7 linked regions of the Mus musculus genome follow. The protein of the gene in region 1 interacts with the protein of each later gene in a pairwise test. Links are inferred from orthologs where the notes say so. Each region holds a gene or a part of one and is shown in the gene's direction. Other genes may lie near its edges. The genes, in order: Cdc5l, Ppfia2, Wwc1, Akap6, Gse1, Dixdc1 and Pde4dip.

Region 1 (4,666 bases):
AGGACACACCACCTATGTTCAAAGACAGTTGCCAGGGCTGCTGTGCAGAGAGGGGCCTACATGGCACTTGGAGGACTAATTCACATAATAAAAGGGGCAATATTGGAGCATCTGACTTGAATCCACACCACAGACAAGGATAGATCTCAATAGGTTGATGAAGTATGTTCTGTTGTCAAAATACCAATCCTTTGTAACAATTTTCTAGCAGGTGACATTAACATGTTTTAAGGAAGAGATACCTTTTTTAAAGTTAGCATAAAGATGACAGAATGTTGAGTGGAAGAAGTCACTGTCATGATCCTTTGGAATAGCCTATGTGAAAGAGGACTGGTTCAACTGTGGATTTATTAGGCCTCTCGATTACAAATAATGGAAAGCTAACTTCAATGACTAAATCCAAAAGGGGGATATGGAAGTAGTTACGACTTGGGAATGTTCTAGATCCAGGGACCATGTAGTTCAAAATACAATTGTTAGGTGCCACACAATTGGTAGGTTAGAGGCTTATCAGCTAGCAGAAACACTGACCTCTTTTGGATCCTAGCGTTAAGATCCCCAGAGAGGAGTGTTCAGATTTGCTTTGATCTGGTCAACCAAATGGTGTGTGACCTGGGTGTGTGGGATAAAAACCATACAACTAAGTGATGTTGGCAGGAGGTAATGGTTACACATCTTTACAAGAGAGCATTGCAAAGAGTACCAGAGGCAGAAAATGGCTTGTTAACCTGTCATCCTGTCAGATGACAGGAGTGAAATGAGATTGTAGGTCACTAAACCCAAGTGTTCTTCATAACACTACACTACCTCCCTCTCAACTGAAAGCAGTGATATTTTGATACAATTTCCTATTTCAAGGAAAAAAATCGTAACAAAAATCGAATCGGAAAATCCGTCATGTCTTCTAGAAGGGGCAAACGGAAGCATGAACAGTGACAACAAACCAGAGCCGCTATGCACGGAATAAAATCTTTCCCTAGGGACCTGGGGTGACACCAAGTAATTAATTGCTCTGGAATAGTGGAGAAATCTGCGTGGGAAAAGAGAGAGGAGATGGCAGAGAGTCTGACAATTTCCACTTCACCGAGACTTTGTGGACTCGCAGCCGCCCTCTGATTTGATGAACAAGTTGTTTGTTCCACTCTTCAGAGGACGACCCCGGATTCCAGGGGCGAGACTCCCGCAACTCACCGAGTTTGTTCCACAGACACCCAACAGCGAGGGATGAGGGAAAGCGGCTGACGTGACGCTTCCCAAGGGTCCCTAGGGCGTCGCCTCGAACCCCTTGTGGCTCTTCCAGGAAGGAGAGCGAACACTTTGGGGCGAGCAGTCGCTCAGTCCCTCAGGTTAGAGTTAGGATCTTGAGTCCGTCCGGCATCCTCGGCGCTTGGCGCTGCGAGTTGGAGCTCCTAGAAAGAGAACGGACTCGTTTGCATCTCCCCGAGGACTCAGCGAAGTCCTCGTCGGTCGCCGGGATGCCCAGCGCAGCGCTCCGTTAAACAAACAGACAAACAAACAAGCAAACAAACAAACAAACAGCGCTCCCTGGGGACCAAGCGTGCTGAGGAACGCCACACCCCTCACATTTATTCCCCACCCCCGGCACTGCCCTCCGCGTGACGTCAGGACCAATCCCTTCACTGCGTTCCCGGTCAAGTTCCAACTCTGGCATCTCGCGAGAGTTTTGTTTTCCTTCACCCTAGTCTCGGACCTGCGCGCGACACGTCGGGCGCCTTGGCACCTGCGGTTTGATTAGTCTCCATCAGTCTTAAGGTTGCAGCCTGGCCGCCCGCGTCTTTTGCCTTCGGCCGCTAAGATCTCGCGAGATTTCCCGGGGCTGCCCACGCCGCGCCTGCGCAGAGCTCTTCAAAGCAGAAGGTCGCTCTTGGGAGGAAGTGGCCTTTTGCGTCCCGTGCCCGGAGCGCCGTTACTACTTTCTCGAAGCTCTCCTCGGCTCCCTTGCCGGGACACTCTGCCGCTAAGATGCCCCGGATTATGATCAAAGGGGGAGTGTGGAGGAACACGGAGGTGAGGCAGCTTTTCCCGCCGTCCGCAGCCCTCCGCCGGCTCTGGTAGCGTGTGCGCACGCGCGGGGAAGCTCCGGGAGCCGTGGCTGTCCCGCGGGGGTCTGCGGTGCGGGGCGGCGACTGCGCGGACCCCGGGGACCCTCGCGGTGCATGGGTGCGGGCTCGGGTCACCTGGCTCACCCCGGGGGCGAGGTCGCGACTTGTCGCCCGGCGCTCCTCGCTTGGCATTTGCTAGGCCCTTGATCACTTATTTGATCAGTTAGGGACGCGCCCCCTCGGTGTCTTCTGCAGCCCGGTGGCCGCCGACCGGACCTCCCCCGGAGCCTGGTGTTTCTCCAGCTCCTTTCGATCTCAGCTCGTGCACAGCGCTTCGCTCTGTTAGAAGCCGTTGTGGCTGCAACTTTGTTTTTTCCGTGACTTCTTTACAGCCGGACAGGCTGCCCGTTTACGTCTGCACCTCTCTGCTTATCTTAGGACCTGGGTCCTTTCTCTTACCTTTCCAGTCACGCCACCCTTGCCGGGATAGAAGCCAGTTAGGACAAACTTACCTACGGTGGTGTTTGCGTCCAGAAATGTTGTAGATTATGTCACGGTGAGCGGAACAGCAGAAGGAAGGAAGTAAAATAGAAATTAAGTTAACGTGCATTTAATCGAGTGCGCCGAATGTATGAGCACCTTTCCGTCTGTCTTGTGCGTTCTTGAGATAGCTCCTTATTGCTTTGGCATCTTTCTGAACATGCTCCAAACTTAGCTGAGAACACTTCTTAGAGTCCTCCTGGCCCATTCGTTGGTCGTCCCGTTGAGAGTTAGTTGTTTAGTGGTTTGGTGGCACCTATTTTTCATTTACTACAGCTTTGTTTTCACAAGCACTTTTGTGTGGCTCCGGCTGAGTTACTTCTGAGAGCCTCAGATTACTCATTTTTATAAGACAAATAAATAATTGTATTTAAGCTCTTGAAACGAGTTGCCAGTTTGGAACATTGTGAACGCAGCTGGGTACATTAGTAGGCTTTCAGTAAAAAAAATGAGTTGCTGTTGTCTTCATCAGACAGCAGTATAGTAGGACCAGGCTTTGGCATTCTAGTATGAAGCAGGTTTCTTGGTGATGTTTGGGAATGAATCTTGTAGGATAGGTACCTGTTGTATGTATTTGGTTGAAGATGCGTTGAAGTTTTGAAAAACTTTACCAAAGTTACAAATGGAGGCACTGAAAAGGGACTTGCATGCACTAAGACAATTTAAACTAGAAGAGTTGGCTTCTGAGGAAGAAGCAGAGTCACAAAATCAAGTAACATCAGGATTCCTCTATAATGGCCAAAACCCAGCAGAGTGTGTGTGTGTGTCTGTGTGTCGATGTCTGTCTGTCTGAGATAGGGTCTTATGTAGCTTAGATTGACTTTGAACTTGCTATGTAGATGAGAGTGACCCTTAACATCTGATCCTCCTGCTTCTACCTCTCCTGTTCTGGCATAAGAGGTGTGTACTGTCATGTGTAAAGTCTTATGGGAATCTAATCCAGGACTTAAAGTATGCTAGGTGGGTATGCTACCAGTTAGCAGTGGGAGAGAAGATGGAGTGGAGGGTTTTATGTAGAAGACAGGCAATTCAAGTTCATTGTAGAAAAAGCCTAAAAGTAAAGTGCTCAAGTGCATTCATCTATGACTCTTAGGTCTGTGAGCTCGCGTGGCAGGATGTCTGGGGATTGGGCTATACTTTGGGTACTCTGGTGAAATGGTTTTTAGAGATTGGAGTAGGTAGACAGGGCGCTGACTGATGAGGTAGAGGAGCTGTGGATCCTGGGCTGTTGTGAGTAGGATGCCTGCCAGAGAGGAACTGTGTTGAACCAGAGTCTCAAGTTTCTTCTTTGATTCTCTCTCCAGAAGTATAGAAGACCTGCTTCAAGGTAGATAGTCAGGAAATTTTTTGTTCTTGTTTTGAGAAAATATATAAATGTATGTGAACTTTGTGAGGAGAATGGCAGGTACATGCCAGTGAATAATTTTGTCTGTCATAAAGTAGTGTTTTTAACATTGACTTTTTCCACCTCCAGTTTGTTGAGGGCCAGGTAAGATGTCCTTTTTTTCTGTTTTTTTTTTTTTTTTTTTTTTTTCTGTGGCTGGTGAGCCAGCAGTTAAGAGCACTGACTGTTCTTCTGAAGGTCCTGAGTTAATATCTCAGCCAACCACATGATGGCTCAAAACCACCTGTAATGAGATCTGATGTCCTCTTCTGGTGTGTCTGAAGACAGCTACAGTATACTTATGTTTAATAATAAATAAATCTTTGGGCAGTAGCGAGTAGGGGCCTGAGTGAGCAGAGGTCCTGAGTTCAGTTCCCAGCAACCATATGATGGCTCACAACCATCTACAGCTACAGTGTATTCATATACGTAAAATAAATAAATAAATAAATAAATCCTTTTTTTATTACATATTTTCTTTATTTACATTTCAAATGCTATCCCAAAAGTTCCCTATACCCTCCCTCCCACCCTGCTCCCCTACCCACCCACTCCCATTTCTTGGCCCTGGCATTCCCCTGTACTGGGGCATATAAAGTTTGCAAGACCAAACTGGGTCTCTCTTCCCAATGATGGCCAACTAGGCCATTGCCGCAGACCCTCTGGGCCCCTTTGTCTG
Region 2 (4,006 bases), on another chromosome or scaffold:
TTCTTCTTGAATTTTATGAGCTATTTCATTTATTTAGTACTAATAAAAGTATCAGTAATAACATAATTTAGTCATGACAATACCTGTGTTTTAAATCTGAAATGAATTTTCTCAGTGTCTCTGCATGTTCATTACTGAAGGAAGAAACATGAAAATTTTTAAGCATTAAAAAACATGTACTTTTGAAGACTAACTTATAAAAGTTCAAATATTCACACCACTTTTTTGATCAATCTCTTATTTAGTTTTAATAACTTAAATGACTATAAACTATATAGCTTCAATTACAAATTACAAACTTAAATCGCATAATTCACACAACTGCTTTGCCAAGTCGCTGCACTCTTTTAAAAATATGACTTGCAAATATTAGATGGCATAAAACAAGTTGGAAAGGAGAAAGTTCTTACAGAAGACCTGGGCTCAGTCAGTTCCCAGCACTCACACAGTGTTTATAAAATAAATCTATGAGACAGGAAATTATAATTTAATATAACAAATTTGAAATGTTAAATGTTATTCCTTAGAGTAAGTTAGAATTTGTTGTATAAAGTAGCACAAATGCATGGTCACTGGTCACTATTTCTTTTCAGATACTGTATGAACTGTTTGCATATAGTCCTCTTTACTATTTCAGCATGAGCTAATATCATGTCAAAGGATATGTTTTAGAGTTAAAATTGTATTCCTGACATAAGACTGTTTTGGTGTCATAATTATTTAATGTGTAATTATAAATTAAAATGTTGATTCAATGTTGCGTTTGTGCATAACATGCTAATACAATTCAGCTATAGCAATGTCCCATGTGTTGACACTCTACACCTGTGGTTTCCTGACAGCAAGATATGTAACTAACCTCAGACAAAGAGTCTGTGCATCCTTTTCACCCTAGGGAACTATTTTGTTTCCATAGCAACAAATTATTGCAGATGCACCTTGGTGTGGTCCTTCTTGTCACATTGTTTTTGAGCATTCACAAAGTTTCTTGTCCTTATGACATTATCATTGCATAATAAGTAGAGAAGTTTTAATATTTTCATTTATTTGTTTTTTTTAAATTACACTTAAGGATGGGATCATTGTATCCTAGAGCAATGCACATTGTGTACAGCAGTCATCTTTTATATGCAGCTCTGTTGCAGATGAAACTCAATTCAATTTGAATTAAAGAATATTCATAATAATATATACCGTTGGCTTAGTGCTATCTCTAATTTCTACATACCAGGTCTTCTATAATCCTGATACAAATATGGCACTCCTGAGTCATAAGGAAATGCAGTTGAGATGTAATATTTGCATCAGGTTTCTTTTCCTAAGTACATGATAAAACAAAACTAAGATGTTCTTAAGTATCTATCAGAGATATTCTAGTGTTTGGTTTCTCATAATTCCAGTTATTACATGTCATTTCTAGAGTTGCTTTAACTCACCCGGTAAAAGTCCATTACTGCCAGCTGTCACTAACCCTTCATACCTCAGGTTCACAGCTTTTGATGTGAGCATATCATTGTCTTCCATTTATAACCATCAACTGCATTATCTTCACCAGATACCAGAATAGTGTATTAAAGTATTGAATTTGCCGTCACTTTTATTTTAAGCATTCTGTACTATGTTCTGTTTGGTGTCAGTGTCTTTAGTTCTGATTTTTTTCAATTTTGTCCTTCTCCTTTTCCTTGACTTGTTAGTCTGATCCAACCTCTTCTACCTCATCTGATGATTATCAATATGTTATGGAAGCTAAACTACAGGAAATGATCTCCATACGTAGGAAGGTAGTCCTAGTGGACTTTACTTTCTATTGCTGAATAGAATCCATCTAAGTTTTTTTTCTTTTCATTTCTATAAAAGATTATGTTACTTTTATTTATTGATAATCGACCATCTGTGCAGTTCAGTGCTTCAGGAGCTTAAGATTGGACAATGGCAGGTTTGTGTTCAAGCCATGCACACTCTGCATGTTACATTTGGCTGACTCCATTGCTCATAAATAAGTCCAGTGTTCTGCTGATGCTTGGATGGAACAGGCCCTTGTTAGCTGACACATTTCAAGCGATGCTGTTCAGCTGCCTGTTTAAAGAAAGTTTATGTTTGGAAACTAAGTTTGCAGTTGGCAGTAGCTTGCTTTACATTTTATTTCAGTTTGTTTGGATGGGAGGCATTAACTCATTTTACATTTTGGGTCCAATCTTTGTATTCCTTAACAGGCTGAAGAGAGGCATGGAAATATTGAAGAACGTATGAGACACCTCGAGGGCCAACTTGAAGAGAAGAATCAAGAACTTCAAAGAGTATGCATGAAGCTTTCCCATCTATCATTAGTGTTTTTAAATTTACAGACTGCATATAAGAGGAAAACATCCCCTGCTAGAAGCTGTGCTGACATCATTTGCCTATGATCTAGGCATTTGAAAGAAAATAGTTTCTACAACTTTAACCAAAAACATGCATAAAATTACATTCAGCATAAAACCCACAAAACTATAAAATTAAGCTTGAAGAGCAATGAGTTTTATTTTACTGTGCCGAATATATATTTTTTTCTCTTTTCCTTAACTATAAGGCTAGACAAAGGGAGAAAATGAATGAAGAGCATAATAAGAGATTATCGGATACGGTGGACAGGCTTCTGACAGAATCCAATGAGCGCCTGCAACTACACCTGAAGGAAAGGATGGCTGCTTTGGAAGAGAAGGTACAGTCTCACACAGGAAGAGCATCACATGGATGCTTTGCTCTATTGTCTAGGTTGTAACTGCTCCTAGCCAGCTGTACTCATTGTTTGCATCAGGCAATCAACCTGCTTTCCTTAGCCTAAAAGATCCTCAATACAGTCTTAGTGAGTTACTAACTTCAACAAAATGCTATAACATCATTTATTGAACAAATTATCAGATGGCACATAATAAATACTACATATTAGTATGTTTATAAGAAACACATGTATGAAAACATGCCAGAATACATGATGAAATTTTCACCTATCTTCTCATTGTTTGTTAAATATAGAGGAGGACATAAATAAATATTGAGTGTGTGTTTATTTGAAATTATTGTGTGCTTAATCTGCCTAATAACCACCAACACTGCAAGCCAAGGCATGAGAGGCTATGTCAGGTAGAAGAGTAATATTGTAATAGATAGAGGCTTTTAAGCCCTCTATTTGTAACTGCATTGTTTCAAGAAATGTGCTTAAGTTCAGCCTGAAAATTGATGCAAAAATCATGCTTGTCATGTTAATAACTAGAAACTATCACAATAATCAGAATTGTTAGAGATGGTGACCAAACTCAAAATAAGACAGAGACATAAACACTAAAACCTCAGAAGCACAAATTATTTCAGAAACCTAAACAGAATTTCACTCACTCTGTTCTTGAGGCATTTTCCATGTTCATATAGTCAAGCAAAATGTTTTAACACAATGTTAGCCAACTTTGATTTTTTTGACACATTAGGAAGTCGAAGCATACTATGAATAGTTGGGTAATAATTGAATAGATTAATTCTTGTCTACAATAAAGTCTGTGAAGAATCAGAGTAATAGCTCATAGGGTAATATGTATGTTGTCTGTCTATTCAAGTGTAGCAAAGTAGCATTTCTTGTTTAAATAATTTATTTTGCAAAAGGTTCACTATTACTTTTAAAAACTTCAATAGAACTTGGTTTCCATAGAAACCAGGAAATATATTTATCAGGGAAGGAATCATAAAGGTTTTGAGTGTTAGAGTATTCATGTACATATTTAAATATTTTCAGCATATTGTTTCTTTCTTTTATCTTTTCCATAGAATGTTTTGATTCAAGAATCAGAAAACTTCAGAAAAAATCTTGAAGAGTCCTTACATGATAAGGTATCATGGAAACACATATTTTTATTCACATTCATGAATATATTATAAAATAAATGCAATAGAAACAGTTTTGTGTTGGATTTTAAATCAGTTTTCACTCATTTTAGCATAGTTTATATTTATGTAGATACTGAAAAGCTTTTGT
Region 3 (4,644 bases), on another chromosome or scaffold:
ATCCAGGGCTTTGTCGTGAAGATTAGCTGAGATCATACTTGAAAACGCAAGCCTCGTATCAGATCAGCACGTGTTGGAAGTGATGGTTCGTTCACACTTGTGATCTCACACTTGGGAGGCAGAGGTAGGAAGGGGAGATAACCATAGTATAAGGCCAGGCAGAGCGAGGTCTCCCAGGCAAAAACTCAAAACAGATTGGCTGGTTTGGTTCAGTGAGGATGCATGCCTGGAGTTTGATCCTAACAGAACGGGGGAAGGAGGGCACTAGAAGTACTTATAATTGTGAAGGCTTTGCCCATCACAGGAAGTCTGGAGGGAGAACTCCCCAGCAGTTGGGTGGGTGGTGAGGACCTCCCTGAGATCTGAGATCCCTGGCTTCGAAGTATAATATTGATGGGATGGAGGAGGAGCTACACCCGTCCCCTATGTCCTCAGGGCATTTAGATTTGAGGAGCCCACCCTAAAACGCCTTGTGTATCAAACAGGGGATCCCCACACAGTACAGGGAGTTAACTGGTTACTCCCCACATTAAGGGATTGATTCAGACAAGGCGCTGGACTTCGTTCTTCCAGTCCAGTTTCCTGCCTCAGGCACAGTTACATTTGCACTGGGGGAAACACCAAACCTAAGAGGGAACTTTTTCCCCTTAATTCAATATTGCTAATGTCTCAAGACATTTACTTATTCTTGTTTCAGGGTTTGCCTTTTCTTTTCTCCTTTCTTTTCTCCTTCCTTCCTTCCTTCCTTCCTTCCTTCCTTCCTTCCTTCCTTCCTTCCTTCCTTCCTTCCTCCCTCTCTCTCTCTTTCTTTCTTTCTTTCTTTCTTTTCCTTCTCTCTCTTTCTCTCTCTCTCTCTCTCTCTCTCTCTCTCTCTCTCTCTCTCTCTCTCCCTCTCCCCCTCCCTTTCCTTCCTTCCTTATTTATTTATTTATTCCCCCCCCCCGTGTTTGCTAGTTTGACTCAGCCTGGAACTTTTGGATTTAAGTAATCCTTCTTCAGCCTCTTGAGTAGCCGAGAGACAGGTGCACTTCACTATGACTGGCAAAATATGTCCTTCCTTCTCCTCCCTTGCCACCCGCTGGAAGTCCTCTTAGGAAGCAGATCCATAGCATTCCTAATTTTAGGGACCCTAAGGAAAGCCAGCTACATTTGCAAATTACGGAGAGGAGGGTTGAAACAACACGGGGAGAACTGAATAGGAGGAAGACAGATGGTGTGAGTGCTGGGGGGGAAGGGACGAGAGATCCTGGAAAACTTATGTTCGCCGATTTGCAAGAATGTTTTCACTTAACCACTTCTTGCCTGACTCCTGGTTCTCAATCACAGAAAACAGGGTGTGTCAAGATTTGGGGCCACACGCGCCAAGAGCCCGGACACTCTGGCGTAGAGAGAGCCTAGCCTCCTGGGGCAGAACGGGGTGGTCGGCGATTGGGACTGTCCCACGAGGGGGCGCGTCTCGGGCTCTAGGACCCGCCCTCGCCGCGCTGGGCGCGGGGAGGAGACCCGGGAACCCTGGAGCCCGGCGCTCCGCCTCCCGTTTCCGGGGCAGCGCAGTTACCTGCACCGCCGGAGCCACACCTGGCGGAGGCAGAAGTCTCGGGGCGCGCGGCGGGGCTCCGGCAGAGGCTGCGGGCGGCGGCGGCGGCGGCGGCGGCGTGGAGCGCAGCGCGCAGCGGCAGGGGCAGGCAGGCGGCGGCTCGGGCCGCTCTCCTGGCTGGCTGGCCGCGGACTCGGGCCGGCTGGGCGCCGCGGCGGGCGCACATGGCAGCGTGAGAGGCGGGCGGCGTGGGGCTGGGGCCGCAGGGCCGCATGGACAGAGGCGCCACCCCGGCCGGCCCCCGTTAGGGCCCCCGATCCGTGGGCGCCACTCCCCGATCATGCTGCCTCGGCGGCCGCCTGGACCCAAAGCGGCCAGCCCGAGCCGCTGAGCCCCGTGGCGGCTGCGAGCTGCATGGGGGAGCGCGGGCCAGGCTCGGGAAGATGCCCCGGCCGGAGTTGCCCCTGCCGGAGGGCTGGGAGGAGGCGCGCGACTTCGACGGCAAGGTCTACTACATAGATCACAGGAACCGCACCACCAGCTGGATCGACCCGCGGGACAGGTAGGACCCGGAGTGCTCCGACCCGGACCCGGCACCGCGCCTGGGCCGCACCTGCCCTTAGTGTGCAGGGGGACTCTGCGTGTCTCTTAACAGGTCTTAGTTTGCCCCCTCTACATCCTCACCCCTCCTTGAGCTGTACAGGAGTACAAAGCTCTGAAGAGCTGCAGAGAGGGGCGGACGCCAAGCAGACTGCCGGCAGCCAGTCCCAGGTGGAGGACTTAGGCCCTTGTAGCACCTGCCCAGAGTTTTGACCTTAAGCTCTAGCAGGGTCCCCGGCTCATTTAGAAAGCGACGTCTGGCCAGGGTGAAGGCAAAGACCAAAACCAGATGAAGCGAATCTTCCCTGGGAACTCCCTTGGCTGAGGAGGGGTGATCTGGCATGGAGGGGTGGTAGGGAGCCCACGGGTCGCTGGGAAACTACTGGAGGAAGGACATTCTGGCGAAGAGAAAGCAGCTTTTTTGACAGGTGCTTCGTTGGCTGCCGAGAAAAGCTTTGGAGCAAGTCTGGGGAAGCCGGAGGTGGGAGGGGAGGGAGGGAGCGCGGGGGAGGGCAAAAGAGGGAGACTGGTTCTCCAGGAATCTCACAGCAAGTTGGAAGCTGTTAGGATGCAGATAGAGGTGAGAGGCCTCTGGCAAAGCCCTGCCTGCCCTAGCCTCCTCTCCTCCCTTCCTTCTGGGGCCAGAGGCTTCTCCACAATCCTGACCTTGGTGGGCACCTCGCTGGGTGTGCGTAGCATGAGCTTTTCCTGAGGCAGGTAGTCTTATCATCCCAGACTCCTTCCCACTTTCAGTTACTCACACCTGGCCCACATCTGCCCAGGAAGGAGGGGAGTCGTCCTTTGCCAAGAAGGAGTGTGGTCAAAGTATCCTAGGAATGTTAGATTTTCACTTGGTCTGTGACCTTGGGGGTTTGGTGCACGTAAAGCCACCCAGGATGAATTTTTTGAGCCTTTCATTTTATGGGGTTCAGATGAAGGGGATCTGAGACATCCAGAATGGGGTGTATAGCAAGATGAGGGTTAAAGAAAAACGTAGGAAGCAATGAGTTCACTTCCTCATGAGTTCGTTCGTTCATTCATTCATTCATTCATTCATCGTTTCTTGAGTTCCTACTCTGCTCAGCGCTAGTACTACAGAGTGTTAGACAGGCTGCTTTGATCTTTTGGCCTCAGTTTCCCCTTGTGTCTGATGAATGGTTTGCTTGGGAAGGAAGGAGTGATAGTGGAAACTCAGAAGCTAGACAGACAGGCCAGCCAGGGCTACACAGTGAGACCCAAAAGTTGGAAAGTTTTTAGAAAACGCAAGCCCAGTTCCTTCCCACATGCCTCACTCCACCTCTTCCCCCTCTCTTTCTCTGTGTGTGTTTAATAACGGTGTGTATGCCTGCTTGACAGTGTGTGTGCATATGGAGGTGGGTGGACAATTGTTACAGTCTAGTAGCTCCTTCCACTTCACAGCCTCCGTTTATCAAAGTCAGGGGTCAGGCTCAGGGGCAAACCGCTTAACCCACGAGCCATCTCACCAACTATCAACTCCAATTTCCCCTTGCTTGTTTGTTTGTGTATTGCTTCAAGATAAGATCTTACTGGGTATCCTTGGCTGGCCCAGAGATCTACCTGCCTCTGCCTCCAGATGGTTGGGATTAAAAGTGAGCACCACTTTACCCAGCTTATTTCCCCGTGTTTAAACGTAAGAGAAAAATCTGGAACCCAGAGATGTGATTTGCTCCTAGTGTTTGGCTATTTCCACTTACAAATTGTCCTTGTGCTCTGCCTTTTAACCTCTAATCTTGTCTAGTTCTCCCCAGGCCTCTCAGAGCGAGGTACTCCAGGGGGCTTTGTAACTGTGTTGGGAAGCTTGGCAACTTGTTACCCCTTAGAACAGACAACTTCAAGTTTATGTGTCCTCCAGCATAAGTCCCTGCAGCTGAGCCCAGGGTGCTGTGTGAGCCCAGGGTGCTGTGTGAGACAGGGTGCTGTGTGAGCCAAGGTGCTGTGTTTGTGGATGAGCACTGCTTTGCCAGCCTTGATGATGACCGAGCATCTGAGAGAATAATACAACATAGAAAACTTCTCAAAAAATGCCAGTCATGCGTTGCCCTTGGAAGAGGGCAAGTGGGTAGCTTCCCAAGAACTGATTTGACTAGAAGGTAATAATATGCCAGGTTGTAGAGGTGTGTGCCACATGTGTGGCTTTCTGGCTACCTGAACTGTTGCTTAATGCTTGCCTTTACACCAAGTCATTAAAAAATGTTTTTTTTTTTATCATTTTTACTCATGGGAAACTAGCAATCTCTAGTGCCATCAATAGAAAAGAATCTTTAAAAAGATACACCTCTACGTTGCCTACACTACTTACTATGAATCACCGTCTGCACCAGGCCAGGCCCAGCAACCTCTGCGTTCAGCAGACTGCCTTGGTGAGATGTCACAGCCATAGCAGTGCTTGCCGGAGCTGCGCACAGTCTTTACTTTTGCCTGCCTCTCCATCCCGCCTGCACTGAGTTTCTATGAAGCCCCGAGCTTGGGGTCAGGGCTGCAGATCA
Region 4 (4,006 bases), on another chromosome or scaffold:
ACGGTCAGGTGGTGGAGGCCTGGTACGGCTCTGATGAATACCTAGCGCTGCCATCTCACCTCAAACAAACGGAGGTGTTAGCTCTGAAACTGGAGAACCTAACCAAGCTTCTACCCCAGAAACCCAGAGGAGAGACTATCCAGGATATTGATGACTGGGAACTGTCTGAGATGAATTCAGACTCTGAAATCTATCCAACGTACCATATCAAGAAAAAACACACAAGGCTAGGCACCGTCTCTCCGAGCTCATCCAGCGACATAGCCTCATCTCTCGGGGAGAGCATTGAATCTGGGCCCCTGAGTGACATTCTTTCTGATGAGGACTTATGTATGCCCCTCTCCGGCATGAAAAAGTTCACTGATGAGAAATCAGAGAGACCTTCATCCTCTGAGAAGAATGAGAGCCATTCTGCTACAAAATCAGCCTTAATTCAGAAACTAATGAAAGATATTCAGCACCAAGATAACTATGAAGCCATCTGGGAAAGAATTGAGGTAAGGTTAGTTTTAACCTAGTGATTTCTTGTCTGGGTTTTAAAAATAATTCCAGGGAAGTAGTCACCTCCTTCCCATTCTTTATCAAATATGTTAAGTTTTCAATTAAACTTTAAATTCTTCAAAGGAAGAGATGGAAAAACAATTCTATCCATCCCAGGAGCCTTGACTGCTGTAGAATTCTGTTGATCCTACTCAAGCTGAACAGGGTACCTGACAAACGGGCGGTTGCTGGGAAACAGCTTACAGCAGTCACGGCACACACATGGGATGCGCATCCAATGCAGACACCCAGTGGGGCATCACAGTGACCTTCCACACCTCTAAATCTCCTTCCTTAGCCCTAGAGTGACTCTCGCTCTCTAGCACCTTCTGTTGGAAAGACCACTCATGTCCAACTTACTAACCATCCCTGTTTTCTCCCCTCCTCTTCCTTTTGGGGACCTGTGGCTTATTTCTAAACCATCTCTCACATGCACTACGTGGGGGATTTTGGGAGAAGAGATTTGATTTGGGGCAAATCTGTACTTTTGGAAGGAATTATTGGATGTGATAGGACCTTTGAAGACAGACATCAGGACTCCATAATATAGCTTATGGTTTTATTCTCCAAGAGGCATCTAGACAAAGATTGACTTTCTCTAGAACTCTGTTGGAAATAGGTCTAGATAATTTTATCATTATTTCTTTCCATTGGAATAAAATTGTCCATACCTTGCATAATGTGTATAGCTCTTTACTATGTATAAAAATCTTCCAGATGCACGTTTAAGCCTAATTCTGCCACTATGCAAGGAGGTTATCTACAAAATGAATTATTCTTCTATACTGATAGAAACAGAGGTTTGGTAAGCCTAAGTTAGTTTTATAAGCTAACTAACTAGGTTGACAGACATATCAACTGGATGATACTTTTGCTTGGAAAGCTAAGATGCAAATCTGTGTCTTTTGATTCTTCATCATTTTTACTGTTGCAGTGTTAGAAAGATTTCTCCTGCAGGGAAATTTTAATGGGAGAGGAAAACAAGATTTGGTAGAGAATATCACTGTAACCCTGGGTCTGCCCAGGTACTTCTCTTGTCTTTTATATGTTCATTGATGAACATTATCAGACTAGGCACTGCTACAGTACAGTGCATATGGACAGAATAACCTTTTTAAATGAAAAGTCAAGTCTATAAAAATAAAATTAGCATAAATATATAATAGTTATGTTTCAAATAATTGTCACCATACATCAAGTATTTAGGTATCTGGTCCTCACCACAATCCTGGCATTAATTTCAAATGGGGTTAATTAATTGGGGATAAAAATATAGATGAGGAGACAGAGGCTGAGAGACACCAGGTAATCTCTGGAGATAACACCGCTGACTTGATCAAATTCTCAGAGCTGTAAGTCCAAAGTCAGGACTTGAATGCAGAGCCAGCCTTACCTGAGCAGTGTGCACCACGGCTCCCGGACTGGCTAGAGAAACTATGGCGGCCTTGGTGAGAACCAGTGTGGAGTCAATTTTAGGGGCTTCTGTGAAGCAGAGCAGGAAGTGGGGTAGTGTCAAAGAGGGAATGCAATCAAGCAAAGGAGTCTAGGCCTTGCTCGGCCACCAAGGGCTCTGAGGCCGTTTTCCCATTGTCACTCCCTGGTGTTCCCTCTGGTCCCTCTGAACCTCACAAAGCAGAAGATAGACGACATGCTAATGGCTGGTTCACAGGAAGGACTAGTAGACCGTGATGGAACTCCCCAGGACAATACCTGCATATGGTACCCAGCATCTCAGCTCCCAAGAATCCTCAGATGCCCTGTCACTCACCTTTGTGTCTTTACACTGATATTGATAGGAAGGATTTCTTTGTAGTGTACTTTTATTTTTGCTCCTTTGAAACCCGTTTTTGTTTATTTTTTGAGATTATAACTTAATTACACTTCTCCCTTTCTGTGATTCCCTCCAAACCCTCCCAGAAAACCTCTTCCCACTCTCCTTCAAATCAATGGCCTCTTTTTTGCATGCGCGCATATGTGTGTGTGTGTATACATATATATTCCTAAATATAACCCATTGATTGAGTCCATGTATTGTTTCTTGTATCAATGCTTGCAGGACTGACTGGTACTGGGCAACTACTTGGTCTGCTCATCCTCCCGGAGGAGCTTCCACCCCCAGTATTACTCAGCTGCCTGTAGCTCTTTGTGTAGGGTTGAGGCCTCATGGGCTCCCCGCCCCCACCTCCACCCCATTTGGAAACCCATCCTTTTAATAGACAGCATATTTACATAGTTTAGGAACTTTATTATCCATTAGCTCTCCCTCCACCTCTGGACCCTGTCTTGGGTTCGGACCTCAGGTACCTGTTGTTACTTACAGGCTTATGTCTTTTAACAAGTTCTTATTCATTTGTAAGCAAGAGCAGACATTTTTGTTAGGTAATATTTTAAAAACCAAGAGTCAAGTTGCAACCCGTCCTTCATAAATAGAAGCTCCTTTCTGTTTGTTATTATTATTATTTCTTGACGTCTCTAGGATGTTTGGGGGGAGGGGTTTATTAACTCTCTATGACTTACCAAGAATTTATGGTATAGGTAAATTGATGGAGGATTTCAGGTTAGAGTGCCCATGACTCTGCACCATGAACTTTCAACATAAAGTTAAGAGGAAACAATTAAATCAAGTCACTGAAGCAGTTTATTTTTTTCTGATAAACACATGAAATGGAATAAAAATAATGAGGAGAGTTAGAGAAGGGAGTGCCTAAAGCAAATGGACTTTAACCTAGGTTAAAAAGTGACATGGTGGCCGGGCGTGATGGCGCATGCCTTTAATCCCAGCACTCGGGAGGCAGAGGCAGGCAGATTTCTGAGTTCGAGGCCAGCCTGGTCTACAAAGCGAGTTCCAGGACAGCCAGGGCTATACAGAGAAACCCTGTCTCGAAAAACCAAAAAAAAAAAAAAGTGACGTGGTGTCTGGACCCATACCTTACATGAGTGCACGAGCTATATCACAAAAGGCAAGTCTAGCCTGAGCCCGTGTATTCCTAGTGCTGCTCTGTTTGTTGGCTAACTTTATTTTGTTCTATTTCTTCTTAGAATTACCGAGCAATTAAACCCAGGAGCTCTTACATGCTAGGCTAGGCTGAGCAGTCGAACCCAGGGCCTCTTACATAGCAAGCTAACACCCCACCACTCAGTTACATGCCTAGTCTGTTTGTAAAGTAATCTATTATCGGAACACAGTCATGCTTTTTTCCCCCTGTGGATGTTTCTGCTTTGTGATGATAGACTTGAAGAGTTATGACAGAAAATATGTAGCCTGCAAAGAATGAAGTACTTCCTGTCTGGCTGACGGGGGAGCCAAGTTCCTGGCTTCTGCTCTTGATTGAGGAGGAAACAGGGAAACTCATTTCTGAGTAGCATATATTAAATGCCAGATTCTGCAGTAGGTCCTCTCATGTAATTTATATAACAACCCTATAGAAGACCTGTCCCACAGGACCCTGATATAGCTGTCTCTTGT
Region 5 (4,006 bases), on another chromosome or scaffold:
TGCCACATGTGTACCCGCACACACAGATTTCCGCGTACACAGAGATCGATAGCGTATTAGACATGAGCATCATACCGTGGCTCCCCTGGGAAGGACCGCGCAGCACACCCGAACAGGTTGCTGTTTTAGGCAATAGGAGGATTCCTAAAAATAATGTGAAAGTGATTGCGTTTTTGCCTGGCGTGGAGACAACCTGATTGTCAGCTCTGGGCCAGCTTGGGCTGAAAAGTTGGGCCCCTGCCTTTCTGTCCATCCATCCGTCCGTCCCCCCCCCCCCCCAGGAGCTATGTTCTACCCTTTGAGGTACTGTCTCTGAGCAAGGAGGTTGCATCCCACGCTGTGTGCTTGACTCGGCTTTTTCTGTTCCATGTGTCCTCTCGTGAATGTGGCTGAGGGCCTTGTTGGGGCATTCCTGTATAGAATAGGCAGGGCTGGGACTCGGTATAGCCCAAGGCTGTGGGCATGATTCACAACAGACCGCATGGACTTTCTCCGGGGTGTTTAGTTGACACTTTTGGACACATACAGTGACGGGCATTGCAGGCCTAGGGTGTGGCTTTCTGGCCCCTTGGCTTTCTCAGGTGCACAGAGGGATACCCTCCTACTGAATCTAGGGAGGTATAGAATGCCACGCCCTCCCTGGCTCCTGAATGGTAGCTCGCTCGTGCCAAGGTTCTTGGTCAGTCCCCAGGTCTGGCTGCACCAACCGGTAGCTTGCCTCCATCAGCTCCCAGAAGCTGGCCTCCCGAGCCATCGTGTCTCTGAGCCTAGCTGCTCTCCTGTGCTTTCTGACTGGCAGGTGCTGGGCGGTCACCGTGCTGGGTTCACACTGCCCAGCCTTGGGGCTTGCTGCTGCCCGCTACCCACTTGAGACTAGAGAGTTCTCAGGCTGTAGGCAGTGGGTGTGGTGCCCATTGGAGACCTGAGAGATTCTTCCCTAGGCTCCAGCCTTCAGCCTGATTGCTGAGGTCAGGCCCTGGTAGTCATGTGAACAAGAGGTGTGCTTGGCTGGAACTGCTCGGGGCACTGCGCTGTACAATTACACAAGTTACACATGGGCCTCCGCAGTCAAAGAGGCCGTGCCATGTGTCCGCAGGTAGCATGATTGTCCCGGGAAAGAGGGGGCTATGTTAGTGACAGAGACCATCCCTCACTACCAAGTTCTGTTGGAACCGACACTCCCAAGAACTAAGCTGCCTCACTACCGCCACCTACCTGCCCCTCTTCCCTTTTGCTGCTGGGGGTGGTTGGCAAGGGAAACACATTGCTTCTTTCTGGGGTCGTGAGGCTGTTCTGGGTATAGTAGCATTCACTCAATATGGCCGATCCACCGGAGGTACATTGACGTGGTTTTAAAAGAGTGAGTGACATCTCAGATTTTTTAAGTGTAAAAATAGCTCTCCACCTCCACGCCTGAGAGGCAGTATGACAAGGGAGGCCACAGAATGGCTGTGGGTCCGTCCCTGCCTGCCCGCTCTTGGGCCTCACTCCCCATGAGCATTCTGGAATGGCAAGACGCGTGGGCGCGGTGGGTGGTGGTGTGACACACACAGGACCCTGAGCTGCTTCGTTCTCTTTCCGCAGGGTCCTCACTGAGCAGCGAGTCATCTCCAGTGTCCTCTCCAGCCACCAACCATAGCTCTCCAGCTAGCACGCCCAAACGAGTGCCCATGGGCCCCATCATCGTCCCCCCCGGGGGTCACAGTGTCCCCAGCACTCCCCCAGTGGTCACTATTGCCCCCACTAAAACCGTCAATGGAGTCTGGAGAAGCGAGAGCCGCCAGGTGAGTGGCGCCGCCCAGAGGTGTGGGCGTGGTGGGGGTAATGGGGATGGAGGCGGGGTATGTGGGGGTGTTCCTGCAGGCTGTTTTCTGTCCACAGCTCTGTTGAGAACTTGAGTTGGGGGCGAGGTTGACCTCTCACCCTGGTCCTCAGACTCTTCTGCTAGGTGAGCTTGATACGCACCCGGTACTGGAAGATGCTAGGATTAAGGCAACCCTTACATCAGACTTGTGACAGAGTACCACAAATTCATCGTTGCTTGCTTTAGGAGGCCAGAGCCTCCCTAAGCCTGGGGAGGGAGGGGGTCGCCAAGGCCCTGCCCCTTTACACAGTGGTGTCTTATTGTGTCCTCTGGTGGCCTGGACGGCAATCACTTCTTTAGGGGTCTACATACCCAGAGGCACCAGGTTGAGACAGACAACAACCATAGAGTGCCTTGGATCTTTGGCTAGACAATAGCTGTGACTGCTTTGGAGGAGTAGGGGCGGGACTGTAGGCTAACTCTGATGGTCCCTGATGCCAGCCAGCACCGGGGTCCTTGTGTCTGCAGTCTCTAGCTGGCCATAACCTAACTGCAGTGGAGGAGCCAGCCCCAGAGCTTCCCCTGTACTGCTGGGCCTCCCGGCGGCCTGGCAGCCTGGCGCCTAGAGGGGGCCTTGCTAATTAAGAACCGCTGTCAGCTGTGGCTTTCCCGGGATTCTCCAGCCCCATTCCCAGAGGGTTTGTACTGCTAGGAAGTACTAATTAAACCACAGAGATGGAGGGGGAGGGGAAGGAGAGCACCTCTCCCCGCTGGGGCAGGGCAGGATAGGCAAGAGTGTGAGTTTCATCTGCCCTTCAGGTCTGATTGGTGTCCCCAGTAAAGTGCTTGGAGCATCCATCAGGCTCCTGACTGAAGCGTGGGGGCCAGCCTTGGCCCATTCCTCCTGTGGCTGAAGTCACACTTAACCCTGGGAAACCTGTCTGAGCGATCCTGTCATCGAATCTCAGCTCAGAGCAGCCTAGACCCACCCTGTCCTGGCTTAAGAGAAGTCAGAGAAGTTGCCACCGCCAACCATCTCCTGTCTGTGGACTCCTGCCAGAGCGCAGCTTTGACCTCAGACAATGAGTCAGCTGATAAAAACCCCCATAGAGCTTCCCTTCCCTGGGTAACCAGCTTGCCTGGTGACTGGCTTTGCTCCTGAGAGAGAAGCTGGTGGGAGGGTCACTTCCTGTTCCTGCCTTGGGCCCCGGAGCTTCTGCTGACTGGAGCCCCTGGCCCAGGTCCAAGACACTTCATGTATTGTCCCCTTGGAGAACTAGGAGGTTCCAAGTGCCTCTGCCTCGTGACTCCTCTGCCCGGAGCCTGTCACTATCCTCAGAGGATCCTTACTGCCTCAGAAACATTTAGTAACCCGGAGAAGGGCTCTGATGGCTCTGCTCCAGCAGTTCACGCTGTGGTTAACAAGACCTGCTCGCCACCAGGGAGACCGCCACCGCCACCGCCACCGCCACCGCCAAGCACACACACAGTGGATGATGCTCAGAGCTCAGCAGAGAGTTTAATCCTTTCCAGGAGGGCGGGGGATGCGCTCTCCCTGTAGTGTGGCCATGAGTCACTAGGGGCCTCTGGAGGCAACATCCACTGGTTGGAAGTCAAGGGGGTGTGTGGCTCCAGGGTGACCAGGCAGTGGAAGCCGCGTGAGAGATGAATGAAGAACAGTCTGGAAACTAACGGGCTCATCCCACTTGACCAGCTGTGGAGACCTCACTCTAATCACTGGAGAATGAGAGTTCTCTCCTTCCCAGCCGCTGCCTTTCATGGATGCAGCTGTGTCTTGGAGCAGCTCTGCAGACATATCTTGTCTGCCACAGCTGCTGCCAGGAGGGTGCCCTGGGGCAGCCACCATGCCGGGGCTTTTTCTGTCCTTGTCACCCAGGCAGCACCCTGCCCCACAGATGGCCTGGTTAGCCAGGTTCTAGTCAGAGAGGCCACAGGCCTGAGGAGGGCAGCAGTGTGCAAACCCCCCTTCCCCCCACCCCCCCAATTGGCCTGATGACCATTTTTTCTTTTCTCTTTTTTTTCTCTTTTTTCATCTTTGGGGCTATTTTTTGTTTTTTGTTTTTTGGTTTTTGGTTTTTTTTTTTTTTGGAGACAGGATTTCTCTGTGTAGCCTGGCTGTCCTAGAACTCACTCTGTAGTGCTGGGATTAAAGGCATGTGCCACCACTGCCCAGCCTGATGG
Region 6 (4,722 bases), on another chromosome or scaffold:
GTCCTAATGGAGTCTGAGGGAGATACAGGATGGCTAGAAAATGGTTTGTAATTCCTTGATTATTGAGTTGCGTGTCCCTGACCAGCTGTGTCCTTGGACAAGGCTCTGATCTCCTCTGGGTCTTAACACTGTAATTTCTCCCTTTTGTCTAGGATCACAAGATGGAATGTAAAATGGACTTTCTTTCTCTCATTCTTTCTTTCTTTTTTAAGATCACTTAGTCCAAGCATGCAAATGACTAGTGTTCTTAAAAATAAACATCAGAGCTGTGACCTCAGCCAGGCCACACGAGAAAGAGGCTCTGTTACACCCAAGGGTGGATGCTTTTACCTGACAATGTACAAGGGCATTCTTGGTGCTTTATTTTAAAACTCACTTATAAAGTATGTGTTCCTTTCTTTCCTTCTTTCTTTCAAGAGCAGGTCTCATCTATATGGTCTGGAACTATATGTGGCTGACCTGGAACTTGCTATATAGACCAGGCTAGCTTTGGACTTAGAACCTCTAGAGTGTTGATCTGGTGTGTGTGTGTGTGTGTGTGTGTGTGTGCGCGCGCGCGCACGCGCGCGTGTATGTGCATGCATATGATAGGTGTATACCCCCATGCTGGCTCTTAGAAATTATTTTATTATAAAACCAATTAATTAGTGTGTGTGTGGGGGGGGTGAGCGTAATGTGTGCCTGTGCCCGAGAGATGTGAGTTCTCCCTTTCCACCTTTGCATGGCTCCAGGATTGAACTCAGGTGTCAAGCTTTTACAAGAGCCTTTATCCCCTGAGCCATCGTGCCCAATCTTACCCCTTAGCATTTATTTTGTAAAAAAGATAGAAGATCCTTGGTGTGCCTCTGACGTTTCTATTATGATGGTATGATTTGTTTAGCGCTGTTCAGTTACTTATAGTCTACAGTTACTTACAGAGCCCCAGCCCCAGCCTCTCTCCTCTGGCCCCTTTTTATTGTTATTTCTTGTCATTCTATTTCCTCTTATTTAAATTGCTTCATTCTCCAACCCCGAGTGGGAAAAGGTTGCTGGTTGTCTCACTCTCAAGCCCTGCGTGGAAAAAGGTTGCTGTTAGTCTGGAGAATGGAGTAAGGGGTGGGTGGGGTAATCCTGTGACTCACTCCTTTCCCCACCCACCTTGTGATGAGGTGCTTGCAGCCTTAAATGAGCAAAGTGACTACATACGTGTGTGTGTGTGTGTGTGTGTACGTGCGTGTGCGTGTGCGTGTGCGTGTGTGTGTGTGTGTGTGTGTGTATGTGCGTGTATGTGCGTGCACACGCTCGGGGACGCCCGCCTCCAAACGTGCAGTGTAGTGATTGCAGGCATATGCTCAGGCTGGCAAGCCCGCTTGTGTCAGCGCGGATGTGTGTGTGTGCTCACGCGTGTGTGAATGCTCGTTGCGAGCACCCGTGCGGAGCCTGCGTGCGCGCCCACGGCTTCCCCGCACTCCCTGGAGACCCGGGGCTGCCTGCTAGCGCCTCTTGCCTGTGCGCAGCGCGCGCCCTGCTGTTTCTATAGGAACCAGCACAGCGCCGGGCCCCTCCGGCTGCAGCCCGCGCGCGAGCATGCCCAGTGCAAGCCGCTAGTTTGGCTCGGGTCTAGGTTTCCAGTAAGTGGCATGCGGGACTCCAGAGAGCTCCCAGGGAGCTGAGCTGATCGCCTTTGTGTACAGAGGGAAGAGACGGTGGCGTGACCCCACCCGGGAAGCCCCGCGGCAGGAACAATGCTAGCCTGCTTGACCCGCGGGAACTTACTGGACGTCCTGCAAGAGGGCTTCAATGAGGTAACTGCCCTGCTCCTCCCACCCCCAGCTCCCGGTCACCCCGCGCCTCCCGCCTAATCTCCCGAAGGGAATCCTGGGGGGCGGTGAGGGGCATCCTCCCGGGGAGCCCATTTAAGAGCCTGGGTGGTAGAGTCAAGGAGGTAGGTGTGGTGCAGATGCATCAACCCGAGGACATCAGAAAGGCGGTGGGCCTCCTCTAAACTGGAGGGATTGAGTACCTTCCCGAGGTGGGAAGGGCAGGCAGGACTACGGACTCAGAAGGCATCTTCTTGCCGAAAAGGTGGTCCCCACGCCTCCCAGGGACTCTCCAGGGACATCCTAGAGGGAAGCCCTGAACAGATGCGGCAGAGCTCTATTTCAGGCGCTAAGCGGATGAGTCACGGGAGGGGTGCGGTGGCGTGGCATTGGTAGAAAGTTTGAAAGAGGGTAGGAGACTGTGGGTGGTCCACATGAGGGGTGAATTTCCTGAATCCTGCACATCCACGTGCGAATTTCCTGAATCATGCACATTAGATTTCTCCACCACTGAGGAGGACAAGGTTGGCTGAGAGGACCAACCTGGGCCTCAGGCCCAGTTTCAGGAGCTAATATTAGTGTGATTCCCTTCTGTGAGAACTGTGGTGGGGAGCTGCAACCTGACAGGAAAGGTGGGCCAGGATTGACCCAAGCAGGCTCTGTTTTCTCTTCAAAAGTTTCTCTCAGAATTCTGTTACCTCTTCCATTTGCTTCTTTTGTGACTCAGGCTACTCTTGTTTGCTCCTCAGTCATCCTTTGGTTGCTTTAGGCCTGCAGCCGCAAAGGCATAAGCTATTGGTCATGGCTTCCTGCCTTTTCCCTCAGTTCACCTTTCCCTTCTCTATGGGTTTCTTAAATTTCAGATTGTGTGTGTGTGTGTGTGTGTGTGTGTGTGTGTGTGTGTGTGGTGGGGGCCTTGGGGATGCTACCAAGGTGTTTTACCAGTACTCCACTCCTCCACCCTTTACAACAGCCCTTGTGTTTTTAGAATCAGTTTTTAGTCAGATAATATAAACAGCCCTGTGTGCAGGGGTGACTGAAACTAGGACCTTGCAGTATGACTAGGGGCTTGATCACTGAGCTACATCCTAAACCCATTCTCTTCTTAAATATTAACATTATGGACAAGATGGACGAGCCTTTGTGCCCTTGCCGTCTCTCACCCCCTTCCCAACCTTTCCCCTAGAGGCAACCAGCTATTCTCATGAATTTCCATGTAGGTTTTTTTTTTTTCTACAGCTGCACGGCAGGCTTCCCCCTTGATCCCTGTTTCTAATTAGGAGATCCTACATTCTGACCTGCCTTAGAACCTTCCCCAGTCCTGGCCCCTGTGCCCCAGCCTTATTCCTGACACACACAGAAAAAAAAAAATCTAATGGAAACATTCTGCCACTGTGACCAACTGTGCTGGAATTTTCCTTTGGCTGAGGGGTGTCACAACCTTCATTAAAGGGCAGAGCTTGTATCCTGCCTGCCCGGCAGGCCTCCTCGTCTTCCCATCACTCTTGACTGAACACATGTAAGGGAATCGCTAACAAAGAGCTACAGACCCAGAGGTGAACACAGAAAAGCCAGGAAGCACACCTCTTCTAGTGTCTGCAGGATTCTCAGTCATCTACCCTCACTCTCAGCCCCAGGGCCTTCTCTGCTCCTTCTCTGCGTAAATCCTGCTCATTCACTAGTCGGGGTAAAACCTCCTTTGGTCCTCTCCTGGCCTCTCCCCCTTTTCTATTTTAGCCCAGCTCACTGGTGTCAGAACCCACCTTCTGACACCAGCTGGCACAGAGCCAAGTCCTCGTCCGTGCTTTCTGCTGCTTCTCCATCTCTAAGTCTTCATCTAAAGACCCACACAAGAACAAAGCGGCCTGGCTGTCATTTCTGTGTCTCTGTACATGAATGTTGCCTAACATTCACTTCTTCCAAAACAAGGGGACAGGAGAGTGGAAGGTAATTTTACCCCCTGTGGTGGTAATGGAGTCTTCCTAAAAACAACACTCAGACAACTTTATAATCAATTCTTCCATTCAGAACAATTCAGCAATGTGTCTTGGCCTCACTGATATTGGAATTGTCTACCCATCCCATAAATTGCCCTCTCTGCAAACCAATGTACATTTTCTCCTTAGTCGATTTGAACTCTGAAAATGAAAACAGCACTTTTGATTTTGTGCCTCTAAATAATACAGATATCATGAATAGGTTAAATTTGAATGATCCCTTAGTTAACGTAAATCTTTCCACATACAGAATACATTTTCTTCATTTCCCTCCACATATACTATCACATATAGCCATCCTAGTGAATAACAGTCTGAGTAAAGTCAGTGGGAAGGTTGGTAGGAGCCCTGTTTGATCTTCCAGACTCAAGGTTGCTTAATAGACCCAGTAATAATCAATCTCTTTTGTTAGCATCATATGATAAGACTGTAACTGAGCACTTAAAAGATAGTGTCAGAAAACACTTAATTCCTCTGAGAAAGTCTTTGTACTGAGGCTAAGAATACCACACATTTATTCAGCCACCTCTTGGGGATTATTCTAAGAGTATCTGAAGCTAGCCTTCATCACCCAGATGGCTTATTATAGGTCTGTGTGGCTAGGGCTGCAGCCTCATTCTCCACGGCAGAGAAAACTCCCACAGGAAGCAGGGATATGGCCCTAATTGGTTAATTATAAGGAAAGCCAGCAGCAGCAGAGAGAAGCTCTGCCCTTTGAATCAAGGCTTCCCTCTATTTACTGCTGGTCTCTTCTCACTCCATATGTCACTAAATATAACCGTGTGTGACAGAATCTCAGTCACACAGACAGACATACACACAGACACACAGACACACACACAGACAGACACACACACACACACACACACACACACACACACGCAGAGTCCCACCTAGAGTCAGCAGGCTTGGCAAAGAAGTCACAG
Region 7 (4,006 bases), on another chromosome or scaffold:
GCTAATCCAAGGTGCTTTCACATCTCCGTGGTGGCAGATATTTGCAGACTCCCACTGTCCTCAGGCCAGTCCCACCTCTTCAGATATAACATCCCTGAACTCCTAAGTCACTCATGACAAGGAATTGAGGATTTTCTACCAGACTAAACAGAGCTCTGGCTTGCGGTTGAGATTTGGTGTTGGCCTAGAACAGGGTTCTCCCCAGCAGGCTTCAGTTTCCCTCCCCATTTCTGTCTGGTGGCCTGGTCCTCAGCTGTCTCCTGCTGGCATTAGGGGAGTTTGTTTGTTTGTTTGTTTGTTTGTTTTAAGATTTCTTTATTTTATTTATATGAGGACACTGTCACCGTCTTCACACACACCAGAACAGGGATCCCATTACAGATGGTTGTGAGCCACCATGTGGTTGCTGGGAATTGAACTCAGGACCTCTGGAAGAGCAGTCAGTGCTCTTGACCCCCTGAGTCACCTCTCTAGCCTACTAGGGAAGTTTTAATGACAGGAATTCAATACTAAAGGTTGGGAGATGGCAGCACTTTGCTGCCAAGTCCAGGGTGTGTTCAGCCTGGTGACTGTTGTCTGAATCTGTCCCTCTTCTTCAGGGACAACTGATGGAGAAAGAACTCTTGGACCTGCGAGCCCAAGTATCCCAACAGGAACAGATCCTTCAGAACACTGCTGCACGTCTGAAGAGGGCCAACCAGAGGAAGAAAAGCATGGAACAATTCATCGTGAGCCATTGTAGGTGTCCCTGGAGGTGGGGGGCTCTTCCTGACACTCAGTCTTGCAGCAGATGAACAGTGACTAGAGGGACTGGAGGGACTGAGAAGTAAGGGTGGGGATAGAGGGGGAGTGGCTAGCAACAGGCCACACCCAGTAGCTGAGACCCTGCTTTAGGTAGTGCATGTGCCCAGCAAGCCAGGCTCAGCTGGTAATTTGCACGTCTGTGGGGCTGTTTTATGTTTCCAGTGACTAGGACCCATGATGTCTTGAAGAAAGCGCGGACTAATTTAGAGGTAAGGACAATACTGTAGCTCTGAGCCACAGAGCCTGCCCACCACTCTCATCCTGTCTGATGCCCCTGGCTAGCTGACATTCTAAAAGGTTTCTGGTTCGGTGTAGGGTGTGGTCCCTCAGCAAGTCCCGCCTCCCTCTCCTGCCCTCTCTGCTTGCCCTCATCTTGTGTCCTCTCTCCCTTTCTCTCTAGTTTTCTGTCCTTTATGTGGGATGGGTAGGCCAGGAAATGGAGTGCAGTTGCCTCCTCTGGAGGGCAGAGGCACTTGGGGTCTGCCTGTGAGACCTGCTGTGCACTCACGTTTCCTCAGGGGCTCCATAGACAAGAAGGCAGAGGAGAGCCTTATAGACGGCCCTCGCTACACTGTGAGGTGGGAAGCATCCTTGTCTGTAAGGATCCAAACAATCCTTATCTTGGCTCACTGATGCAGAAGGAAACCTGAAAATGAACACTGCCTCTTGAGGGGGAAGATAGCCAATCTCTGGCTGGTTCTCTATGATTATCACAAATGCTAAGTGTGGCTGGCCTCTTTCCCTGGCAGCAGTGTGAGAAAAGACTTGGTGCAGATGATGTGGCGTAAGGATCAGAAACTATCCTCTGAGGGTAGACTTGCCACTGCCAGCGCAGCTGAGCCTCTCCTCAGACACTTCCTAATCGCATCTGCCGCAGTGCTAAGGCCCATGCAGAAAGGACAGGGGGCTGGGCTGTAATGTAGGACACTCTTTTGTCTTGGTCTAATTTCCCTTCATTCTCTGACGACTCCTTTCTTTCCCGAGCCTCTGTAACACAGCACTTAGGAGATTGCCGCTGTGCAGCCATATTCCTGTCCCAGCAAAGGTAACCCAGCAGTCTTTGCGACACTGGCCCAGCCTGCGGACGCTTTCCTCTCTGTTTCCTTAGGCCCCTGGGAAGGCTCTCAGCACTGGGCCTGTCACTAACTGCCTGTGTGGCTTTGGCTGGCCCCTTCATCTCTGTGATTCTGCTGTCCAAGTCTGTCATGGTAGATCTCAGCTCAGCTCACCTTCGGGGGCCCTGCTGGCTCCACCCCTTCTCAGATAACTGGGACATGCATTTACCAGGAGGACTTGAGCGGCTCTCCTCCTGCACAGGCTCCTCTCTTGCTCAGCACTTCTTTCTTGGGAGATATAAAAGACCCTCTTGGTTTCTTTTTGCTTATTTGCTTCGGACTACTTGGTTTGGAACATGACCTGGCTCCTGCAGGGAGCTGGGCAGGGTCTGGCCACTCAGTGTACAGAGGTCTAAGCCGCAAGAGTCCAGGAGTGGGAAAGGCTTCCATCTAATCTGGGCTTCAAGGGCTTCTCCAGGCCAGCACTCCCACCCCTACTCGCTGTGCTTGCTTACCCTCCTAATCAGGCTCCTAGCTTCCAGCAACGTGTGCCCCTCACTCCAGCCTCCAGCGGGGCCTGGACACTCATGCTGACCAGGTTTGTTTTCTTCTTGTCTGCAGATGAAATCCTTCAGGGCTCTGACGTGCACTCCGGCCTTGTGACCCTTGCCTTCCAGGAGCCACATAAGGGGCGGAGCCAGAGGTCCTTAAAGGAGCAGGAAGGGTGGGCCTGCCCACCTCTTGTGCAGCTGCCTATCTGCTGAGGACTACCTGGTCCACTCCTCCCCTGCTGGAGGTCCACAGAAGGACCGAGATATGTCCACATGGGACAGGCAGGAATGAAAGTGGTATCCTGGCAAGCAATGACTATGATTAGCCAAGGCCCACTGGGCCCAACACTAAGCAAAACTCACGTAGACTGTGTAGAAGCCCTCTTGGCACTGCTTCTAGACAGCCTCTGCAGCACGGTGCCCACCTTGTTACAGTTCTCACCTCACCATCTGCCCTCAAGATAGCCAACTCAGGGGAACTAGGACTTCACCGCCCACAAACAGGATGTGTGGTCCCAATGCCAACGCTCCTCAGACAACTGTAAAAGCACACACCATTGAGTGGCACTGCCCTGCCGGACATTGTTGGCACCCAACAAACTCCCCTCACAGACCCACTCTTGAGCCAGGCCAGTCCTATGGGCCAAGCCTGGTAGTATGTTGGTCTCTACCACCACACCAGAGGTCTTTGAGTCTACACAGTGAACGGAATGTGGTAACTTCTAGGTGCCCCGCACTTAGCCTAGCACCTTTCTTACATGATCTCAAGTTGAACCGACTTCCTTAACTCTGCTGTCCCCTGTAATCCTAACTTCCCTTAGGGGAATTGGGGGCTACTGGTGGCCACATCATGCCTATTGAATGTCTAGCGTACAGCACAACAGTGCCTCTTTTAATAGCATGGGCAAGGTCTGTTCTGTACTGAAGACTCTGTCTCCACAGTGCTCATCGGATGTGGGTGTGTGTATAAATGTATAATATAGATTTATATATGTTGCTATGGCTATATGTTGAAGGCCAACATGATGTGCAGACTGATGGGTGAGAAGACGCTGAGCAGTCTTTCTGATGGCTATTAAAGCAAACTGTGTATAAAGAAATTATTTTCCTTTGCTTCTCACTTCTGTACCAGTTCCCAGAAAAAGGATATGGAATATGAAAGACATGCTGCCATCTGTGCGCCCCCCCCCCAGTGTGCACCTTATCTCAGAGGGTCTACCAGAGACCCCGAGTGTGAATCCTAATCCCCCCATGAATTCCACTTCAACAAAATGAAATAAATAGTCGTGAGCCAGGAAAAACTCACCAAACTGTAGGCACAAGTGTGTGTTGGTGGGAAAGGCACCACCCACAGAAAGAAGATAGGCCATAGGACAGCCACAGTAGGAGATAAAAACTGCAGTTCTTCTTAAGGAAGTTAGGTGTGAACACATCTCTGATAGTGAGGAGGGGAACGTGTTTACAAACCAAGGAACAGTGGTCCATTTCAACAACCCTGAAGTTCAGTCTTCACAATTACAGGCTCCACTGAGACAGAGCAGCTGACAGAAATGCTTCTCTGCAGCTTAAACCAGCTTGGTGCAGGCAGTGACTAGT

The links.
Region 2: the proteins of Cdc5l (region 1) and Ppfia2 interact in a two-hybrid assay, tested with the Homo sapiens proteins (2 studies listed by BioGRID and IntAct). The link is inferred for Mus musculus from reciprocal best matches to the Homo sapiens genes CDC5L and PPFIA2.
Region 3: the proteins of Cdc5l (region 1) and Wwc1 interact in a two-hybrid assay, tested with the Homo sapiens proteins (2 studies listed by BioGRID and IntAct). The link is inferred for Mus musculus from reciprocal best matches to the Homo sapiens genes CDC5L and WWC1.
Region 4: the proteins of Cdc5l (region 1) and Akap6 interact in a two-hybrid assay, tested with the Homo sapiens proteins (2 studies listed by BioGRID and IntAct). The link is inferred for Mus musculus from reciprocal best matches to the Homo sapiens genes CDC5L and AKAP6.
Region 5: the proteins of Cdc5l (region 1) and Gse1 interact in a two-hybrid assay, tested with the Homo sapiens proteins (2 studies listed by BioGRID and IntAct). The link is inferred for Mus musculus from reciprocal best matches to the Homo sapiens genes CDC5L and GSE1.
Region 6: the proteins of Cdc5l (region 1) and Dixdc1 interact in a two-hybrid assay, tested with the Homo sapiens proteins (2 studies listed by BioGRID and IntAct). The link is inferred for Mus musculus from reciprocal best matches to the Homo sapiens genes CDC5L and DIXDC1.
Region 7: the proteins of Cdc5l (region 1) and Pde4dip interact in a two-hybrid assay, tested with the Homo sapiens proteins (2 studies listed by BioGRID and IntAct). The link is inferred for Mus musculus from reciprocal best matches to the Homo sapiens genes CDC5L and PDE4DIP.

Annotation. Positions count from the first base shown.
Region 1 is NC_000083.6:45,430,753-45,435,418, reverse strand, and holds the start of Cdc5l (cell division cycle 5-like protein), read left to right. Parts: upstream 1-1,711; 5' UTR 1,712-1,983; coding exon 1,984-2,028; intron 2,029-4,666.
Region 2 is NC_000076.6:106,833,483-106,837,488, forward strand, and holds part of Ppfia2 (liprin-alpha-2), read left to right. Parts: intron 1-2,213; coding exon 2,214-2,297; intron 2,298-2,569; coding exon 2,570-2,701; intron 2,702-3,798; coding exon 3,799-3,861; intron 3,862-4,006. UniProt on the Homo sapiens protein: Alters PTPRF cellular localization and induces PTPRF clustering. May regulate the disassembly of focal adhesions.
Region 3 is NC_000077.6:35,977,426-35,982,069, reverse strand, and holds the start of Wwc1 (protein KIBRA), read left to right. Parts: upstream 1-1,542; 5' UTR 1,543-1,980; coding exon 1,981-2,099; intron 2,100-4,644. UniProt on the Homo sapiens protein: Regulator of the Hippo signaling pathway, also known as the Salvador-Warts-Hippo (SWH) pathway.
Region 4 is NC_000078.6:52,887,567-52,891,572, forward strand, and holds part of Akap6 (A-kinase anchor protein 6), read left to right. Parts: coding exon 1-497; intron 498-4,006. UniProt on the Homo sapiens protein: Binds to type II regulatory subunits of protein kinase A and anchors/targets them to the nuclear membrane or sarcoplasmic reticulum. May act as an adapter for assembling multiprotein complexes.
Region 5 is NC_000074.6:120,561,042-120,565,047, forward strand, and holds part of Gse1 (genetic suppressor element 1), read left to right. Parts: intron 1-1,584; coding exon 1,585-1,784; intron 1,785-4,006.
Region 6 is NC_000075.6:50,724,848-50,729,569, reverse strand, and holds the start of Dixdc1 (dixin), read left to right. Parts: upstream 1-1,585; 5' UTR 1,586-1,724; coding exon 1,725-1,784; intron 1,785-4,722. UniProt on the Homo sapiens protein: Positive effector of the Wnt signaling pathway; activates WNT3A signaling via DVL2. Regulates JNK activation by AXIN1 and DVL2.
Region 7 is NC_000069.6:97,689,328-97,693,333, reverse strand, and holds the end of Pde4dip (myomegalin), read left to right. Parts: intron 1-599; coding exon 600-738; intron 739-966; coding exon 967-1,013; intron 1,014-2,480; coding exon 2,481-2,522; 3' UTR 2,523-3,506; downstream 3,507-4,006. UniProt on the Homo sapiens protein: Functions as an anchor sequestering components of the cAMP-dependent pathway to Golgi and/or centrosomes.